2 linked regions of the Arabidopsis thaliana genome follow. The protein of the gene in region 1 purifies or fractionates together with the protein of each later gene. This does not show direct contact. Each region holds a gene or a part of one and is shown on either strand. Other genes may lie near its edges. The genes, in order: NLP1 and ALDH12A1.

The links.
Region 2: the proteins of NLP1 (region 1) and ALDH12A1 fractionate together in Arabidopsis thaliana (co-fractionation; one large-scale study listed by BioGRID). This does not show direct contact.

What each region holds. Positions count from the first base shown.
Region 1 is NC_003071.7:11,736,657-11,741,392, reverse strand, and holds NLP1 (nitrilase-like protein 1), read left to right. Parts: upstream 1-1,794; 5' UTR 1,795-1,815; coding exon 1,816-1,991; exon of another isoform or gene 1,992-2,127; coding exon 2,128-2,176; intron 2,177-2,283; coding exon 2,284-2,375; intron 2,376-2,477; coding exon 2,478-2,629; intron 2,630-2,705; coding exon 2,706-2,752; intron 2,753-2,840; coding exon 2,841-2,874; intron 2,875-2,963; coding exon 2,964-3,130; intron 3,131-3,349; coding exon 3,350-3,446; intron 3,447-3,560; coding exon 3,561-3,727; 3' UTR 3,728-3,961; downstream 3,962-4,736. Other genes in the region: AT2G27460 (sec23/sec24 transport family protein), read right to left, coding at 243-308, 396-723. UniProt on the Arabidopsis thaliana protein: Involved in polyamine biosynthesis. Catalyzes the hydrolysis of N-carbamoylputrescine to produce putrescine and ammonia.
Region 2 is NC_003076.8:25,098,491-25,105,175, reverse strand, and holds ALDH12A1 (aldehyde dehydrogenase 12A1), read left to right. Parts: upstream 1-1,863; 5' UTR 1,864-2,016; coding exon 2,017-2,105; intron 2,106-2,457; coding exon 2,458-2,537; intron 2,538-2,651; coding exon 2,652-2,755; intron 2,756-2,846; coding exon 2,847-2,914; intron 2,915-3,011; coding exon 3,012-3,069; intron 3,070-3,176; coding exon 3,177-3,290; intron 3,291-3,470; coding exon 3,471-3,554; intron 3,555-3,635; coding exon 3,636-3,740; intron 3,741-3,822; coding exon 3,823-3,936; intron 3,937-4,026; coding exon 4,027-4,158; intron 4,159-4,243; coding exon 4,244-4,333; intron 4,334-4,437; coding exon 4,438-4,527; intron 4,528-4,611; coding exon 4,612-4,824; intron 4,825-4,919; coding exon 4,920-5,030; intron 5,031-5,107; coding exon 5,108-5,187; intron 5,188-5,268; exon of another isoform or gene 5,269-5,269; coding exon 5,270-5,408; 3' UTR 5,409-5,911; coding exon of another isoform or gene 5,912-6,019; 3' UTR 6,020-6,112; downstream 6,113-6,685. Other genes in the region: UBC3 (ubiquitin-conjugating enzyme 3), read right to left, coding at 1-5, 85-174, 273-298, 373-497; SRO5 (uncharacterized protein), read right to left, coding at 5,912-6,019, 6,113-6,231, 6,315-6,559, 6,648-6,685. UniProt on the Arabidopsis thaliana protein: Plays a role in the inhibition of programmed cell death by converting the toxic proline catabolism intermediate (s)-1-pyrroline-5-carboxylate (P5C) to glutamate.

The sequences.
Region 1 (4,736 bases):
CAAATTTACTGCTACCACACCCTATCTCCAAAGTCATGACAAAATCACAACATAAGCAAGCCAAAAATCGATAAGAACAACAAAAAAGCATACAAACCCAAGCTAGAATCATAATCCATAGCAAAATGACACACACATTGCTTTCAAAATTCACAATCCAAAGTTCACTAACACACAATTCAAGTACAATCTACACTGATCACAATGAGCTTCGAACACAATATAGAAGAAATAAGCCTTACAAGAGATATCAATCGCCGCAACATACACAGGTCGTGCTTGCGTCATCTCTTCCTCCGATCCATCCACTAGAAAAACAAACAATTAATCAGAAATTAGAACCAATTCCAACAAAAAAAACAAAAGAATCAGTATAGAGATGACGTAAGACATACGAGGCATCTCAAGATCAATGAAGGAGGAAGTCATTTCAGGTATAGAGTGAGGATTAGAGTAACGAGCAATAGCATCAGAAGGAAGTCCATTGAGAGTTCCACAAAGCGAGCAATTCCAAGCCCATTGATCAAGCTCACAATAGGTATTGAAGTAAGCGTAGCAGTTTTCGCAACGAGGAAGAAGATGACCGTTAGATCCGCACGCTGGTCCGATTCCGTTCTCGTCTTTGGCCGCGAATGGTGTTACTGTCAGTCCCCAAGGAAGTCCTGACGCCTCTTGAGCGTCTGAATCGATCGGAAAACGCGACACCGTTGCTCTCACTGCCATTGTTTCAGATCAGATCCTTCCAAATGTGAAAATTTTGATTCTGGTTTTAAGGTTTTCGGAGATTTGGTGAAATTGGATGAGCACGGTGGAAATTAGGCGCACGTTAGCTTTTCCAGTAAAATTCGTCTCCAGCGCACGTTAGCTTTTGTGAACGTCTTTTTTTTTTGGAAGTTTTTTTTTCCAACATCAAAGAGGCCAATGATTTAAAGGTGGAAGTAGTGATGGTACTACATATGTATAAACATGGAGTGATGCAACAACTCAAGTATAAGACCATCATCGCGAAGATTAAAGACCTGAGGAAATTCACTATATTTTGTTCTTCTAGAGAGCTCGAACTTAAAAGATATATTATACTCTATGTTTACTCGGGGGATAACGTCAATATGGTGTCAATGTAGACATCAAAGAGTTTGAAGATCAAGTACAAGACTCCTCAATTAAGTATCTTGTTGGATCACTGAATATTGTTATACCTTCTAGTTTTCTAGGTAAGAGATTGTTTAGTCGAATACAGATTTTATTGATGAAGAAAAGAAAGTGATTATGTATTGTGGGAGATGCGAGGATTTCACGGAGAACATGATGTACATTATTGGAAGGCATGGTTGCAGAAAATTCGATTATTGTACAAACCAATTGAAATATTGTCCCTGGTTTCTCTTCAGTTATTATGTCTCTGGTTTCTCTTCAGTTATTATGTTCTAAGTGATTATGTTCCAAGTTTAGTTATTTTAAATCCACCAATGTAACTTTTACCCACCAACACTTATTTTGTATCAACTTGTTTATGTCTTGTGCATATAGTAGATAAGTGTAGAAGAATCTAAAATAAGACCATACAAGGATTAGGATCCCTCATTCATAAAACATCTAAAATGTTCCAACTCAATTTGGGGTTTTACGTCTGCGTTTGCGTTTGCGTTTGCGTTTGTGAACGCCTTTATTCGATTTTGGAAAAGAAAAAATGTTCTGTTCTATTTTGTTCTCTCTGCTAGTCACAGTCAAATGAGTCAGCTACCTTATATTCGATTTTGAGCGTCCTTAAATTCCTTCACTGTGAGAAAAAACACAGAGAAAGAGAGAGAAACAATGGAAACGGAAGGAAGAAGACGAGAAGTGGTTGTTTCATCTCTCCAATTCGCTTGCTCCGACGATATCTCCACCAATGTCGCCGCCGCTGAGCGGTTCGTCTCTCTCTCTTCCTCCCTCCCTCTCTCTAATTATCAATCTCTCCCATCTTCCTCCTCCTTCAAATTTCCATATGCGTATAAGCTTCTCGAGCAATTTATTGTGATCACGGACCTTTGGAATCGAACTATTCAATTTCAAGCTCTGATATAGATTCCCCCGTTCGAATCCGATTTCAGTATCTGAGAATGGAATTGTTTACATTTTACGCAGATTAGTCAGAGAAGCTCACGCTAAAGGAGCTAATATCATTCTTATTCAGGTCATTGTTGCTCTTCGAAATTGTTTCTCAGATTTATAAGTGTTTTTGATTGATCTAGTATCCAATCGTCTTAGCTAGTCTTATGTAGTTTAGTTTCTGTATAACAGGAACTTTTTGAAGGATATTACTTCTGTCAAGCACAAAGAGAAGACTTCTTTAAGCGAGCCAAGCCTTACAAGAACCATCCTACCATTGCAAGGTGTGACATTGCTTATCCGATTTCTAACGCAGTAAAGTGGAATCTCGATGTATCTATGTACTATCTAGTGTTTTAATGGTTGGATGGTTTAATTTAACACAGGATGCAGAAGCTGGCAAAGGAATTGGGTGTAGTGATACCTGTTAGTTTCTTTGAGGAGGCAAATACTGCACATTACAATTCGATTGCTATAATTGATGCTGATGGAACTGACTTGGGAATTTATAGGAAGTCTCATATTCCTGATGGACCTGGTGAGTCAAGTTTGGAGTTGGAAATATAGCTTGAGTTTCTTGTTACCTTTTTGCTGAGACCTCTTTTTATCTTAAGGTTATCAAGAGAAGTTTTATTTCAATCCTGGAGATACTGGCTTTAAGGTAGTTTTTAAAAGAAGAATCTCAAATTGAACTGTTATGTTATTTGGTTCACATGATTGATCTCTTCTTCTCCCTTTGGCTTGAATAGGTTTTCCAGACGAAGTTTGCTAAAATTGGAGTGGGTAAGATGCTCTATGCAGAACTCTGTTTCTAATGTCCTTTTCGTTGTTACTTCATCTTAATTGATGTACTAATGAAATGTATTGTTTAGCTATATGTTGGGATCAGTGGTTTCCTGAGGCAGCTCGAGCTATGGTTCTACAGGGTGCTGAAATACTGTTTTATCCCACTGCTATTGGTTCTGAACCTCAAGACCAGGGATTGGATTCGCGTGATCATTGGAGGAGAGTTATGCAAGGGCATGCTGGAGCTAACGTGGTAAGCTATTATTATGTCTTAAACATCTCAGTTTTCAAAGTCATTAGTGTCTTATCGGATTGCTATGAGCCTAACTTATAACTGAAAGCTATTTTACAGTAACATTAGAAATAGATTACATGTATCTAGTTTGTTCCGTTATTTCTACTGATTAGAACTTGCCAAAATGTGCTTCAAATGGTTTGCTAATGAGTGAGGCAATAATACTTTGGGTTTCAGGTACCTCTAGTAGCCTCAAATCGCATAGGGAAGGAAATAATTGAAACTGAGCATGGACCTAGTCAGATCACTTTCTACGGAACTTCCTTCATTGCCGGTATCAGTTTATAACTTATTCAGATGAGATCAGTAATTTTGAAGTTTAGATGCAAATTTATCAATAAGCATTTTCCCAACAGTTTGTCACAATATTGTTGTTATAATATGACAGGACCAACAGGTGAAATTGTGGCCGAGGCAGATGATAAATCGGAAGCTGTTCTTGTAGCACAGTTTGATCTTGATATGATCAAGTCGAAAAGGCAAAGCTGGGGAGTGTTCCGTGACCGTCGTCCAGATTTGTACAAGGTGCTTCTTACTATGGATGGTAATCTCTAAATCTTTTGCTGTTGGAAGCTTTGATCTTTTGTTTAAGATCACACTGGGGAAATCCATTAACAACAATTATTACTGGCTTAACCTTAAAGGGTAAGTAAGCCCAAAAATAAAAGACCAGAAAAAGTTTAATACATCTCAAAATTTGTTCTGGCACTTTCATCTTTCTAGGTTGTCATATGGAAAAAAATTCGATACGTTTATATAAACACTAATGCATAAGTTGTATTTGGAACAATTAGCCTAAGTTACATGCACCTTCGATAACGAAAAAGAGAAATCAATCGAAACACATAATACTGCTAACGACGTTTCCAACTCCAACGGCTGTCTTCATGTTTCTTGTTTCTTTCGATCATTAGCATTCACTGCGCTTGATGGTTTGTGTTCATCAGCAAGCAGTGTTATTCTCTCGGATTCTTCGTTGTCCAGATCATCAACATCTTCTCCTTCTTCTTCCTCTACTTCTTCAAGAACATATATTTCTACTTCTTGATTATATTCTTCGACATTACCATCTTCAGCTTCACTTCTGTTATCACAAGGATCTACATTTGAAGTCGCAATTTTCCTTTCTCTGAGTGTTTTGTCTGTGAGGTTCCTCAGCAAGTTCATCACTTGCACTGCATACATTAATGCTGTTAAAGGATCTGCCATCTGCAGTAAAACCAAAACAGACCCAGTATGCGGATCAGAGGCTTGATATATTGATGCATTCTGGTATTAGCACTAAGATAAAACTGACATTATCTGTGTAAGATCAATGTGAGTAGAGAAAAAAAGGAAACTCTTGGAAAATTGTGATGTGGTGCAAGAAGTGACCTGGGACATGTTGGGTGCAAAGACTAAAGCTAGATTACGGGAGGTCATCTTGTTGACAACTTCAAACTCTACAAGAGTCTCACAACCTTCACAAAATCCTCCCCTGACTCACACTGCATCACTTGTTGAGATGGTAGAGAATCGAGTACCCCTTTCGGTAACTCTCTGAACCATGCCTTTATAAGTCCGG
Region 2 (6,685 bases), on another chromosome or scaffold:
ATAAACTGCACCAAAGTTCAATTATCAAAGTCGAATTTCCTAATTGGTCTATTACTATGTTGTTCACTGAATGCTTGGGCTTACTGTTTGGATGAAACATCCGTGAAACAAACCGAACAATCGGGGGTTTGTTCGGATAATCCTCGGTGAAGTGAAGAGTCAACTTGAAAGTACCTGATGAACACAACAGACTGATTATTTTAGCTATAAGTTTAACTCATGACAATATCTCGGTCTGCAGCAATAGCCAATAAGTACTGAAAGATAATTACCTCCATCCCATGGAGTGTCCTCAGGTCTGCAAACAAAGACAATGAAGAAATAAGTTTACAAAGCCATGCTTTGAAGAGAAAACAAAACAAAAAGTTATACCCAAAGATGAGAGCATTCCAATGCATGATATTGTTATCTTGTGGAGCTCCACTTATTCCCACAGGAGGATCTTTCTGCAGTCTCTTGAAATCCCACATCAGTCTCTTTTTTGCTGGAGTTGTCATTGCTGTTGGAAATTCACAGACTGCATCCAAATATGAAAGATTTCAACTTTACTCTTACAAACTCATTTCATAAGTCACAAAGTAAGAGCAATTGCATGAACTAGGCTTTAAATTTCTGATTAAAGTTTCAATTTTTTTTCAGACCCAAAAAAAGTAGAAGCAGAGACCAAGATCTACATTTCTATAACCTATCATCATAGTTTAACAAAGACTTAAGCTTCAACAACCATATAGCCCAAAAGGTCAGAGAACAAGAATCACCAAACTTCTAGACAAGAAAGCTTGAAGCTTGGATTATTTCAACTAGCAAATTAAGTTCGACTCAACGATAGTAGCTGTGTATAAATTCTGAATTTAAATTCTGAATTTAAGTAGATCAAGAGTACAATTATCGATTTCAACGAGCCTTAGGATTAGATTATACAATCACCTATGAAAGATTTGATCTTCCGATGTCATGCATCAAATGAAAAAGCTCGATTAACCTAAAATTACCTGAAGTTCAAAGCTGCAATGAAAAGTGATTCGCAACACTAGGAATTAGGGTTTTTCCAATGTTTTTCATAGACCGAAAGAGATGATGAAACTATTATGAGTGGAGAATAAATAAAGTATATATAGAGGGAGAGAGAATCAAAGTTGAGATTTTTCTTTCCTTTTTCTTCACCAAATAAAGGAAGAGAAGAAGAAAACACAAAGAAAGTTTAAAATGAAAAAATCATATACTATTTTAAGAAAATAAAATACAAAACTTGCCAGAAGAAAAAAACATATATATATTTTCTTCCAAAGACGAAAAAAGACTTTTATAATTTTAATACAATTTTAATATTATTATTTTTTATTTGTCGGTTCGTGTAAAAGACAAACGTATACGTCTATTACTCAATGGGCCAATGGCCCAAGCGGACGTGACTCAGCAAGCTATCACCATTTTAATACTTATTTATCTATCAAGATTTATTTATCTATTTTGTAATTGACATCTGTGTTCATCTTACAAAATTCCTTGGTTGATCCCTGGATTTGATGTCAAATATCACTAATACTATTGATTTTCCAATTTAAATTTCAAAAGAGTAAAACAGTAGATAATAATCATAAATCTCTTTTTTTTTTTGTACCAATTTTCATTATTAGTTTCCCTTGATATTTAACTAATTACTATTCCATTAGTCGAATTGATTAGAGGAGGTCTTTAAAAGAGATTTACTATTATTTTTATTTTTTGCTCAACTTCTTCTTCCTCATGAGTCATGACTCATCACATCAGGGTTTATAAGAAGCCATTAGAAACTATGGGGTAAAAAAGATAATAACCTAGAAATAAGAAATTATCTGTAAATATCTTTAAATCATTAATGTATTTCTCGTCAATCAGGGGAAAAACATTTAATTCTTTAATAAGCTGCTAAACACAAATCACTCGAGAATTCGCTATTTTATCACCAATCTTCTTGAATCCTCTCATCCAATCGTCTGATTCTCATCTTTCTCCGTTACTTGTGGATCTTACGCAATGTATAGAGTTTTTGCGAGCCGAGCACTGAGAGCTAAGTCTCTCTGTGACAAATCATCCACCTCGCTTGCTTCTTTGACTCTCTCCAGGTTTTTCAAACGTCCTGATCTCACCAAATTATTTCTTGTTTTGTGTTAAACATTGCTCTTCGTCTTTTGGGGTTGCATGTTTTTGCCTAAAGTAATAGACTTTCCATTTGTATATATATATAAATAAATAAAAGAGAAAACTTTAGCAAGTTGGTGTATTAAAAATTTGAGATTTAGATCATCGAGTAGCCGCATCTGCTCAGTCTCTATGTAATGAAGAGAGTGTTAGCTGATTAGAGTTTGAAATGGTACTTTATGTATTTGTGTTCTGATTACTCTTTGATGTCTGAGAATGTGATCCATTTAAAAGAGTGTTCCTTTGCCTTAATTTTTGTGTTTATGGATCTTGCAGATTGAATCATTCCATACCTTTTGCTACCGTAGATGCCGAGGAGCTCTCTGGTGCTCATCCTGCTGAAGTACAGAGCTTTGGTATGTCTTTACTTCTCACTGATTGTGCGTTGACGCTATGGAAATGAGTAATAGCTTGTTGGTTAAATGCTGTTGTGAAGTCTCTGAGTTCTACTTTCATTGTTATGTCTATAGTGCAGGGAAAGTGGATAGGATCGTCAAATCATAACACGCTTCTAGATCCTCTAAATGGAGAACCGTTTATCAAAGTTGCGGAAGTGGATGAATCAGGAACTCAGGTACGAGCCTATCAAAAACCGTTGATCGTATCACAATGTTGTTTATCCGTGTCAATTCTAACTTTCAGTTTTCCTCTGTTCTATGTTGTAGCCATTTGTGGACAGCTTATCCCAGTGCCCGAAACATGGTCTCCATAACCCTTTCAAATCTCCAGAGAGGTATGATTTGGTTGAGGTTTGGTGCTATTTCTTCTTGTTTTGTCATTTCCCATTTTGTTTCATATATGAAGGATAGTAATGGTCTTGTTTTCTACAGATACCTTTTATATGGAGATATCTCGACAAAGGCAGCTCATATGCTCGCCTTACCTAAGGTAACACATACTTTTTTTGTTGAATCTCGAGTCTTGAATTCAAAAGGTTTTGTTTTCTGAATAACATGCATACTGAGCTACTGTTGTATGCGTGTATACACTATTAGGTTGCTGATTTCTTCGCGAGGTTAATTCAAAGGGTTGCTCCAAAGAGTTACCAGCAAGCTGCTGGAGAAGTCTTTGTCACACGGAAGTTTTTAGAAAACTTTTGTGGTGATCAGGTACATTACTCTCTTCACCATTTTTTATTTTGGTTCCTGGCTATTAGTTTCAACAACTTAGTAATTCTTGAAGGCATGTTCTCAAAAATGCCTATATAGACATTTCATGTTTGTGGCTGAATTTCCGAAATTACATCTTTAAATGTATGTTTATGATTTCGCTTCACTTTCTTTTATCAGGTGCGGTTCCTGGCACGGTCTTTTGCAATCCCTGGGAATCATCTTGGGCAGCAAAGTCATGGTTACCGTTGGCCTTATGGTCCTGTAAGGCATTCTTCCTAGATGGTTGTAATTGGTGAGAACTCTGTCTGTGCTTTGTTTTGAAATCATAGATTTGTAATGCAGGTAACGATTGTTACACCATTTAATTTTCCACTTGAGATTCCACTACTTCAGTTGATGGGGGCATTATACATGGGTAACAAACCTCTTCTTAAAGTGGACAGCAAGGTATAAATTACTCTTCACATTACTATAGTTCTCGTAATTGTATTGGTTCCATCTGTTTGATAATATAATGTTATTTGATTAGGTAAGCATTGTTATGGAGCAAATGATGCGATTGCTCCACTATTGTGGTTTACCCGCTGAAGATGTGGACTTTATAAATTCTGATGGGAAGACAATGAACAAGATATTGTTAGAGGTATTTGGTCAGGAATTCACAAGTCTATTGTCTCCACAGGGTTTTTAGTTGAGCTAATTCAGTGTCTTGTCGATTTGTAACTTCTTTCAGGCGAACCCACGGATGACCCTCTTCACGGGTAGTTCTAGAGTAGCTGAAAAGTTGGCACTTGACCTTAAGGGTCGAATCAGATTGGAAGATGCTGGATTTGATTGGAAAGTCTTAGGACCAGATGTTCAGGAGGTTTCTTATTATACCCTTCCGTATTTGTATTTCCACAAGTCTCCTTAAATGTGATTGTAACCCTTGTTTCGGTCTCTAATGTCAGGTTGATTATGTTGCATGGCAATGTGATCAAGATGCATACGCGTGCAGTGGACAGAAGTGTTCTGCACAGTCTATGCTTTTTGTTCATGAGGTTGGTTTGATCCTAATTGTTATGGTGAAACTACCTTTGAATCTTTTGTTTACTTCCATTTTCTTCTGTCTTTGTTGTTTTCAATGTATTTTCTCTCTGAGCAGAACTGGTCAAAAACCCCTCTTGTTTCCAAATTAAAAGAACTAGCGGAAAGACGCAAACTGGAAGACTTAACCATTGGTCCTGTCCTTACAGTGAGTTTCATTGTTTCTCCATCTGTTGTTAATCATCTGATGAGATTGTATCATTAAAACTTATTTTTTCATTATTGTTTCAAGTTTACAACTGAGGCAATGTTGGAGCACATGGAGAATCTGCTTCAGATTCCTGGCTCAAAGCTACTCTTTGGTGGCAAGGAATTGAAGAATCATTCGATTCCTTCAATCTACGGAGCTTTGGAGCCAACTGCAGTTTATGTTCCCATTGAAGAAATCTTGAAGGATAATAAAACCTACGAACTCGTCACCAAAGAAATCTTTGGACCATTTCAGGTTACCTTGATATCGACTTTATTAGCTTTGTCTAAATGATCTTGTGTGTTTCTTTTACTGAAACGTATAGTGTTGTTTCTGTATATGATATCCAGATTGTAACGGAATACAAAAAGGATCAACTTCCTCTAGTGTTGGAAGCATTGGAGAGGATGCACGCTCATCTAACTGCAGCTGTTGTTTCAAACGATCCCATCTTTCTTCAGGCAAATCTTTTCACAATTATCATCAATCAATCTCTTATTCTCTATCCCTTCGATATTGATGTAACAAATCTGTGCAGGAAGTAATAGGGAACTCAGTGAATGGGACTACATATGCTGGACTAAGAGGAAGAACAACTGGAGCTCCTCAGAATCACTGGTGAGAGGAAAAATCACACTCCCAAATTAAAGTATCTATTTCTATTTCTTTGAGGAAAAGTTAAACTATCATATAAACACAGGTTTGGACCTGCGGGGGACCCGAGAGGGGCCGGGATAGGGACACCAGAGGCTATAAAGCTGGTTTGGTCATGCCACAGAGAAGTCATCTACGATTATGGTCCGGTTCCACAAGGTTGGGAACTTCCTCCATCTACTTAGAAGTGGTGTGTCCACTAATAATTAATAAACTAAGATCTTAGTGTGCTGTTGCATCAAATAAATATGAGTTTTGTAGTTTTATCTCTACGAGTAGTTTCCGTGTGAGGGAATAAGAGCTTGAAACATGAAGTTTTCAACGACGTTGACTTAGTCAAGGGGTAGAGGGATTAAGACAGAGAGAGAACTATTGTAAAACTCAGTCCACCAGAAATTTTCTTCAGCTCAAAGCCAGACAATAATACAAATGTTTTTGAAAGAAGAAGAGTGAAAAGAAAAACAAGATGATAACTTGTTAATGTTCTCTTCATTAATAATGTTGCTAAGACCCTAATCTAATCGATCTTAAATAATCTAATGAACAGTTTTTTTTCATCACTATCATGGGAAAACAATAGAAAGGGACTCTACCAGTCCTGATCATTTTGGAGTTGGTAAACAGACAAATACAACCATGGTGATTGTGTCCTTGAAACAAAAACGCCAAAGTGATCTGCAATGGAGATTTAGTGTTGTACTTTATGTCCACAAGCTTTGATGATGTGAACTAGTAACTTGTCTCCGGTTATGCTTCTGACTCGTTGGATTAGTTCGCTCCGTGTAATTCTCCTATTCTGTTAAATCCAAAGGAAAGCAACAATTAGAATGTGAAATGAAATCACCTCAAAAGATAATTGAAGAGGAAACAAACAAAAAAAAACACTTACTTGTTGATCTTTGTAATGTTTCTGAATGACAAGTATTTGAGAAGGAGGTAGAAACTTGGACAATGCTTTGATCAATACAGGAAATGCCATCCATGGTGATCTCAATCTCTTTGGACTTCCTGCAAAAACAGTTATAACTATGTCAAAAAACCATAAACAAGAACAAGAAAAACTCAAGATTAGAGATTTTGATTTTGCTTACGAGTTAGGTTAAATGGAGCTTTGATGCAAACAAGAAACTCAGGCAAAACATGAGTGTTCATGTGTGTACTCCACACAATATACTTCTTCGTAGAAACTAAATCATCCACACCAGAATCAAACTCTGGTGAACTTGGACATGATCTAGTCGAGCCTTGAGGAACAATCTCTGATTTTCCAAGTAGAACTCTACAAAGCAACAAGAATCTCATCCCATCTTCTGATTCTGAAGCTGAATCCTTCAAACTAATCAAACAAACAAACACCAAAAATGAGATTTTGAGACCAATGAATTTCGAAAAATTGAAACTTTTAGAGATTTAGAGAAACTTACCAATCAAGAGGAGAATTATCCGGCGAGAGATACAATCC